Linked DNA regions of Danio rerio. The protein of the gene in region 2 interacts with the protein of the main gene of each other region in a biochemical or structural test. Links are inferred from orthologs where the notes say so. Each region holds a gene or a part of one and is shown on either strand. Other genes may lie near its edges.

The links.
Region 1: of the proteins of sufu (region 2) and fbxl17, one has a biochemical effect on the other in vitro, tested with the Homo sapiens proteins (2 studies listed by BioGRID, with this or other methods). The link is inferred for Danio rerio from reciprocal best matches to the Homo sapiens genes SUFU and FBXL17.

Annotation. Positions count from the first base shown.
Region 1 is NC_133183.1:1,643,047-1,647,627, reverse strand, and holds the start of fbxl17 (F-box/LRR-repeat protein 17), read right to left. Parts: upstream 2,910-4,581; 5' UTR 2,815-2,909; intron 1-2,814. UniProt on the Homo sapiens protein: Substrate-recognition component of the SCF(FBXL17) E3 ubiquitin ligase complex, a key component of a quality control pathway required to ensure functional dimerization of BTB domain-containing proteins (dimerization quality control, DQC).
Region 2 is NC_133188.1:12,250,141-12,254,736, reverse strand, and holds the start of sufu (suppressor of fused homolog), read right to left. Parts: upstream 3,046-4,596; 5' UTR 2,835-3,045; coding exon 2,683-2,834; intron 2,465-2,682; coding exon 2,330-2,464; intron 1-2,329. UniProt on the Homo sapiens protein: Negative regulator in the hedgehog/smoothened signaling pathway. Down-regulates GLI1-mediated transactivation of target genes. Down-regulates GLI2-mediated transactivation of target genes. Part of a corepressor complex that acts on DNA-bound GLI1.

The DNA.
Region 1 (4,581 bases), on a different chromosome or scaffold from region 2:
GTGGTTAAGTGCGCCGACATTTAACTCCATGGTGCTCACAGTGACCCGAGTTCGATTCCCAGCTAAAGGCCCTTTGCTGACCCTTCCCCTCTCTCTGCTCTCAATACTTTCCTGTCTGAAACCTCCACTATCCTTCCCATATTAAAGGTGAAAAACCCTTTAAAAAATTATTATAAATAGAATATGTGATATAAGCGTGCGCTGCTGTAATAAACATTAGAGTAAACAAGTGCTAATCTATTCATTCCATTATTGCCTCCACCACAGTACTGTCTGCATGGGTTAAGAGTCTACAGGACAGATTTATACATCTCAAATGTGTTATTTAAGTGTGTGCTGCTGTAATAAACAATGAGAATCAACTAGAGCTAATATATCTGTACTATTATTGCCACTAGTTTACCACAGTACTTTCTGCATGAGTAAAGAGTCTACTGGACAGGTTTTTATTTCTCAAATATGTAAATAAAGTGTGTGTTTTGCTGTAATAAACATTGAGAATTAATCAAATGTGGGATTAAAGTCAGCACCAATGGCCTAGTGGTTAAGTGCGCTGACATATAGCACCATGGTGCTCACAGTGACCCGAGTTCGATTCCCAGCTAAAGGTCCTTTGCTGACCCTTCCCCTCTCTCTGCTCCCAATACTTTCCTGTCTGTAACCTCCACTATCCTTCCCATATTAAAGGTGAAAAACCCCTTAGAATAATTATTAAAAACTGTGTAATAAAGCGTGTGCTGCTGTAATAAACATTAAGAATCAACAAGTGGTAATCTATTAGTCCCATTATTGCCTCTACCACAGTACTGTCTGCAGAGTAAGTTACTTGACGATGTTTAAATGTAAAAGTCATTACTGCAGGAGTTTCACAACACAAAGCTGAAATAATAGCACACAAATGCAACAGCATAAAGATAAAGAAATATAAATATACAATCTCAATGTCTAATAATGTTTTATGCACACAATACCAAGTGATATCTTTGGTTTGTAATCATGAGGACGATCATCTATCAATGCTATTATTGCCACTAGTGTAGTCTAACAATACTTTCTGCATGTGTAAAGAGTTTACAGTACAGACTTATACATCTCAAATATGTTATTTAAGCGTGTTCTGCTGTAATAAACAATGAGGATTAATCAAATGTGGGATTAAAGTCAGCACCAATGGCCTAGTGGTTAAGTGCGCTGACATATAGCACCATGGTGCTCACTGCGACCAGAGTTCGATTCCCAGCTTGAGGTCCTTTGCAGACACTTCTCCTCTCTCTGCTCCTAATACTTTCCTCTCTGTAACCTCCACTATCCTATCCAAATTAATGCATTAATTTTTTTGTAATAAGTATTATTACAAAAATAAGTGATGCAAGCGTGTGCTGCTGTAATAAACATTAAGAATCAACAAGGGCTAATCTATCTATTCAATTTTTGCCTCTACCACAGTACTGTCTGCATGGGTGAAGAGTCTGCAGAGTAAGTTACATGATAATGCATAAATGGTAAAGTCATAACTCCGGGTGTTTCACAACACAAAGCTGAAATAATAACACACAAATGCAAAAGCATGAAGATAAAGCAATATAAATATACAATCTATCTGTCTAATAATATTTTATGCACACAATAACAAGTGATGTGAAGTCTTTGGTTTGTAATCATGAGGATAATCATCTATCAATGCTATTATTGCCACTAGTGTTATTTAACCAATATGTTACTTAAGCGTGTTCTGCTGTAATAAACAATGAGGATTAATCAAATGTGGGATTAAAGTCAGCACCAATGGCCTAGTGGTTAAGTGTGCTGACATATAGCCATGGTGCTCACAGCGACCCGAGTTCGATTCCCAGCTAAAGGTCCTTTGCAGACCCTTCCTCTCTCTCTGCTCTGAATACTTTCCTCTCTTTAACCTCCACTATCCTATCCAAATTAAAGCTGAAAAAACTCTAAAAAAATAAGTATTATTACAAAAATATGTGTAAGTGTGTGCTGCTGTAATAAACATTAAGAATTAAGAAGGGCTAATCTATCTATTCAATTTTTGCCTCTACCACAGTACTGTCTGCATGGGTGAAGAGTCTGCAGAGCAAGTTACTTGATAATGCATAAATGGTAAAGTCATAACTCTGGGTGTTTCAAAACACAAAGCTGAAATAATAACACACAAATGCAACAGCATGACGAATAATGTTTTATGCACACAATACCAAGTGATATCTTTGGTTTGTAATCATGACGATGACAATCTATCCCTACAATTATTGCCACTAGTGTACCACAGTACTGTCTGCACGAGTAAAGAGTCTACAGGACAGCTTTATACTTCTCAAATGTGTAAATAAAGAGTGTGCTGCTGTAATAGACATTGAGAATCAACAAGAGCTAATATATCCCTACTACTGCCACTATAGTGTACCACAGTAGTCTAACAGTACTTTCTGCATGTGTAAGAGGTCTGCAGGACAGATTTATACATCTCAATGTTATTAAAGCGTGTTCTGCTGATTGAGAATGAACTAGAGCTAATATAAGTACTATTATTTCCACTGGTGTACCACAGTACTTTATGCATGTGTATGAAGAGTGTACAAGACAACAGGGCTGCTTTATATATCTCTCAAATGTGTGCTTAAAGCGTGTGCTGCTGTAATAAACACTGAGAATCAACAAGAGCTACTGCTGTCAGTGTTGACGGAGCGGACTGTTGTTGTGTTTCATTGAGTGATAGTAGCGGGCGACGCCATTAAAACTCCGTCCTAAGAAGATAAGCAGGACTCGGTAAGTGTGCTAATAACCCCCGGCGGTGCTCACCAGCTCACGCGGCCCTCAGCAGCTCCGTCCCGGGCTCTCATAATCCGCACGACACGCTAACAGGAGCGAACGAACCGCGGTGTCAACCTGCTACTATATTTCAAAACACTTCCGGATTTCAAATAACAGAGGAAATCCCGCCCACCGCTCTCTATTAAAGCGGGCTGTCAATGGCTGGAGCTGCTGTCTGTATGGAGCGGATGGCCAATCATAAGCGCTTTTAAGAAAACTATTTGAATAAAACTAAACATGCTTGATTTGCGTTTGTTTTTCTTTTTTAAATTAATGTTTGAAAGAATATAATAGCTTGCAACAATCGTGAGACACATCTTCATACACCTCCAAGTCTAAATAGCAGTAAGAAAAATAAATATATGATAATTAAATAAAGAATCTGCATTCATGAATGAAGTCGTGGGCCAACACCACAATATTCAGTCATACATTTTCTTTTTGGCTTAGTGCCTTTATTAATCAGGGTTTGCCACAGCGGAATGAACCGCCAACTTATTTAGCATATGTTTTACACAGCGAATGACTTTTTAGATGCAACCCATCACTGGGAAACACCCACACACACTCATTCACATACACACTCATTCACACTTATACACTAGGGCTAATTTAGTTCATCAGTTCCCCTATAGCGCATGTGTTTGGACTGTGAGAGAAACCGGAGCACCCGGAGGAAACCCACGCCAACACAGGGAGAAGATGCAAACTCCACACAGAAACACCAACTGATCGAGCCGGGACTTGAACCAGCGACTTCTTGCTGTGAGGTAACAGCGCTACCCACTGCGCCACCGCGCCACCCACACCACAATAGTATCAACCAAAAATTTAACATCACAATTCCTATAAAAAGACAACTACCCAGGTTGCACAGAATTCTGCCCAGATTTGGCTCTTTTTTTTTAAGGCGGCACACAATACTTGGGCCAGATGACAAATGTAGTATTTGGGCCAGATGTTAAGGATTGATATGTAAATCTTGACCCCATTTAATATACATTTTTATTATTTTCAAATAAAGAAAAAAAATCCTACCAATCAGGTCGCTTCGAGAAAAAGCATGCCCACAGTACGCCTAAAGCGCACTGCTTCATGGGTTTATCAATTTCATTACAGTGCCCACAGAGCAAATGTTTTCTGGCCCAGCTCCGGCCCACACAATAACTTTTTTCCTTGGCCCAACTACCACAAGGAATAACGGTCCTGAAGTGGCCCATAACTGGATTAAAGACTGAAGCTCTGCACAAGACTTTTGGCCAGCGGAGAAATTAAAATGGTCGTGCCCAACTGAGTCTGGTTCTCTCAAGGTTTTTTTTCTTCACTCCATCAGGTGAAGTTTTTTTCCCTCTCCGCTGTCGCCACTGCCTCGCATGGTTCAGAATTGGTAGAGCTACGCATCGATGAATTTGCTCTTCAGTGTTTGAACTCTTAGTAATGTTAATTACTACTTACTTAGTAATGATTAAATCACACTGAACTGAGCTAAACTGAACTGAACTGAACTTAAACACTAAAACCTGAACCACACTGTTCCAGTTACTGAACCGCACTGTTCCAGTTACTATGACCATTTATGTGAAGCTGCTTTGACACAATCTACATTGTAAAAGCGCCATACAAATAAAGCTGAATTGAATTGAATTGAATTGTTTAAATCACACTGAACTGAGCTAAACTGAACTGAACTTAAACACTAAAAACTGAACTACACTGTTCCAGTTACTATGACCATTTATGTGAAGCTGCTTTGAC
Region 2 (4,596 bases):
TATGTTACAATTCATACATTTAAATTTTTAACAGCGTGCGCACATTTACAGCTTTGTCCGTACGCCATGTTTTAGTATGATTTCAATGCAAGTCTTCGTACATGAGGCCTCTGGCCTTTGAAGGGAGTTAGCAAATTCTCCTTAACTTTTTTTTTCGACCCAATCGTTATATAGCTCGAGCGCTCCTGCCAAATTTACACTAGTTTTTCCCCCATTTCTTGGGTCCAAATTGACTGAGAAGAAGCAATTTTAAGTTCTACCCCAACGTCCTGCTGGCTTGCAGAGACCCATACAAGTGGATGCTGCTCTCTCATTGTCGGTAATCGCCGATGTTATTTTCAGTCGAAACTCATTTTACACGGTATGATTTGAATCGGCGACAGCTCCAGATATTTAGCGTGCCAAATTTCTCACAGGTGTCGGCGACTCATCAGCGATTATCTCAGATAGCGTCTTGGATAGTTCACACTGTGTGATTGTTACTCGCGTGAACGAGCAGCTATTTGCCTGTGATTTCAGGAATTTGTCTGCGATTGCTCAAAACCTGTGGGTGAGTCAAAATCGGGGCTGAAATCATGCAGTCTGAACTCTGCATAAGTCAGATCTTAATAAATGGCTGTTAAAACATGAAGCCTTTTGGATTTCCACTCTAGATGGGTTGTCTCCAAGAGGTTTAAATAAGGAATCTGATATACTTTATATATATTATATATGATATACTATATAATGTTTATTCAGTTGTTTGGGTAAAAGTTTTCTGGCTATGTTTTGTTGCTTTTTTTGTTGTATTTGGATTGATTTATTTTTGTATTTTTATTTTGAATGTGTAAGTTGTGTAATGTACTAATGTGCATTTTTCTATTTTTTTGTGGTAAGATTACGTATGAGATCAACTGATCCAGAAGTATATGGGACATTCTACCAGAAACATACATTATCTGTCCCAGAAATAAAAACATAAATGCAGTAAATAAACAGTATTTCATCCCAAAAATGTCTAAAATGGAGTGATGGTTGATTTCTGGGGTTGAATTCTGTAAAGGAACATGTCTTCATTTGTTTCTTCATTTAAAACACTTTACATTGTAAACTCTGTCATTGTCATTCTCCTCAGCCAAGTTGTTTCTACAGCTTTAATAGTTTTGTTTAGCTATAAACTGCAATTTAGAAGAACAATACTTCACTTATGAATACTTCATAAGTTTAAGTTGTTATCATTTACATTGATTGATCTAATAAAAACATGAAGTTATAAATAGGTTCTACAAATAAATGCTACAAATATATAACAAACAAATTTACAATTGTCCACATGTTTCTGTGTCCTGTCACATTTGCATTAAATTTAACATAAAATGCTTGCATTAAAACGGTCGTGCCGAACTGAGTCTGGTTCTCTCAAAGTTTTTTTCTTCACTCTCCTATTGGTGAATTTTTTTTCCCTCTCCGCTGTCGCCACTGGCTTGCATGGTTCAGGATCTGAAAAGCTACTCATCGATGAATTTGCTCTTCAGTGTTTGGACTCTCAATAATGACTTCAAACCACACTGAACTGAGCTAAACTGAACTGAACTTAAACACTAAAAACTGAACTACCCTGATCCAGTTGCTATGACCATTTATGTGAAGCTGCTTTGACACAATCTACATTGTAAAAGCGCTATACAAATAAAGCTAAATTGAATTGAATAAAACTTTTTTTAAGGCTAAGACTCAGAAGTGACATCATTTGATAAATAAGAAGCTGACGGAGATCAAGGATGTGTTCTATCCACTCAAGTTGATTTTATGTTTGTTTTTGTATGATTTTTTTTTTTTTTTGAGAACGACAAGCGTAGGTCAGGCCCTGTTGCGTTTTTATAAGTGAAAATGGTTTCTGGGAGAATGCCCCGAATAAAAGGAGCAACATGCTGTGATGAATACAGTCTGATGAAAAGACCATGTGCTCAAAACGTTACATGCATTGTGCTAGCCTTCTTCATTTAATAAATTGGTATTTTTGGATCTTTGGTGTTGCAGCCTTGTTTATTATATTTTTGCTGTCCAGTTCTGATCATGGTTTTCCTCAAAATAAAGGTCTTTTTTGTTGAAGTGCCTTGGCTCTTTTGAAAAATACTGTTTCACTATCATGGTTTAGAACCACAAGGTCTTACATTTAGAAAATTTTTGATTTTTTTTTTTTTTTAAATATGAAGTGTTTTATGAATTGTTTTCTAAGTTTGATCTCCACTTTCAGGTAAATAACAACATGGCTTGAACTAGACTAGCTGTCCTGTTGTAACAAAACAACACTGTAAGGTCATGACCTGTTATAATATGACATTCTTACTCGTGAACTCTGTTGTCTCCATACAAGTCACTGAGACCCAGGCTGACATAGTGCCAATGTTCTGGTACGTCTTGTCCAGGACATCCCACGTTTCTGTACATACTAATGTAATCCAGAGGATCTGGACCACCTAACCTGAAAGGAGGATTTTGAGAGAAAAGGGTGATATATTGAGATGGAGAAAAGGTTCACTGGAAAATTTGTTTTCTGCCTAGAAGTACTTCTTCCTTTCAGGCTAGAAAGGAAAACTATAATCTGTGAAACTATTCTGCAAGCTATATTCAATTATTTTGCTGCTTTAATGCGCACATAACAAGCAACGACATGACATTTGAATGTTTCAGGCGTCTCACCAATACTTCACAATGGCTGTGACTTGCAGCGGGTTCGCCTGGTCGGGATACAGACGTCTGCATTCCCCATAAATGGCCTGCAATCCCGGGGGAAAGATCGAGGCGAGGCCGAGGTGTGCTGCTGCTCCGCTGCTAGGCCGCATCTCATCCATCCCCGCACGGCCGCGCCAAACAGGGAAAAGTTCTCGAAAAGCAAGAAAATGTGTTGTTCTTTTCAACTTCCGTATTGGAAAAGGCGATAAAGTCACCGGTGCTGGAAAACGCTTTGTTACACTTTCGCCCCCTCAGTGAAGCCCCTGTTGCAGTTTTTCCTCTGTGGTTTGATGTCCAGAAAAGGGACGTTGCTACTGTGACTGACACATCATCCACTCAATGAGAATTGCCGTTAGAAAGGAACGATGTGAGAGCGGCGATGTGATTGGACGAATGTTTTGCGGAGTTTCTTGTTGATCCATGTGTAGGCGGGACTCTGTGGCATCCATAACAAAAATGCCATCAACATGAATCAACTCATATTGTGTTTATTTAGTATTAATTTACGATATTTTTGAAATTATTTTGTTTTCATAATGCTTCTTAAAAATGAATTTATTTTATTACAATGTACCAATATTATATTTCCATAGACAGAACCATTTGTGGAAGTTCATAGAAATAGAAATGGTGGAAGTTTAGTTTTAGCCCATTCTAAAATAAATAAAAATTAAACGTGCCATTTTCAAATTTCTTTCAAACTTTTTAATTACTTTAATTAGTGTCTTGTTTATTTTCTCCTGCTAACTACATTTTTAATTCAAATTTATATATTCCTACTTGTACACACCATGCATTAAAATATCATATATTTTATAGACTTTTTCTAATTCCCCATCTTTAACATTTGTCACATATTTCTTTCTTACTATTACCAACTTTTTATTTATCTTTTTTATATTTTATATTAAGATTTATAAATATTGCCATTTGTTCCTACCCTATTTCCTGTGTTTTTTACTATATTTTATTTATTTTTCAATGTACGTTTTTCATGTTTTCGTTTTGCCCAATTTTTTTTTATTTTAATTTTTTACATTTTCAATAGATTTACGCACGCAATCTAATTTTAAATAATACTTCTCAGCTTTTGTATGTGGTTTAATCAATGGGGGTTTAATACGCCAGAGATTTCATTAATATATTAGTTTTCCATTAAAAACACTAATGTTTATTGCCACCTGCTGGACATTTGCTGCATTTTATTCGGTCTGTTTGTTTGTTTATTTATTTATTTGTTTGTTTATTTGTTTATTTTTGATTGTAAATGCAATGGACCTTGTTCTCCATTATATCCTAAAACTGATATTTTGTTGGTTTGAGATTTACAACAAAGCAGATCGCGTTGCTTGACATTGTTTTCTTTTTAAATATACTTATTGTAAAATAAGACAAAAGCTTCTTGGTATTTGGATACCAAAAACGTGTTCTGTGTTTCATTTCAAGTTTTACACATAAAAAACAGTCGTGTCATGACATGGTAGGTGCTGCAGGCCTACTTTAGTTTTCATTTTCATTTTTACTATTACTGTATGTCTATCTGTATGTCTATCTGAGTAATGAACACTTCATTGCTCAGTCAGATGCAGCAGTAAAATCTTTCCATTCCGTTGAAAGATTTCCATTCCGTTGAACTTAAATTAATTATAAAACAAACATGTTAATAAGTACAGTGAAATCTACAAATATGTTAGGTAGGCTACTTATATTTCTTCAATATTTATTAGCAGGATTTTATTTCTTGTTGAATGAACAAAAAAAGTAAAATACAGCAATGTTTTGTATATTTACAACTTTGATAAAAAAAAATTTACACTTCTGATTGTGCCAGTAAGAGTAACTGTAATATGCGTAGTACTGCAAGGCTTAGCAGACGTTGGC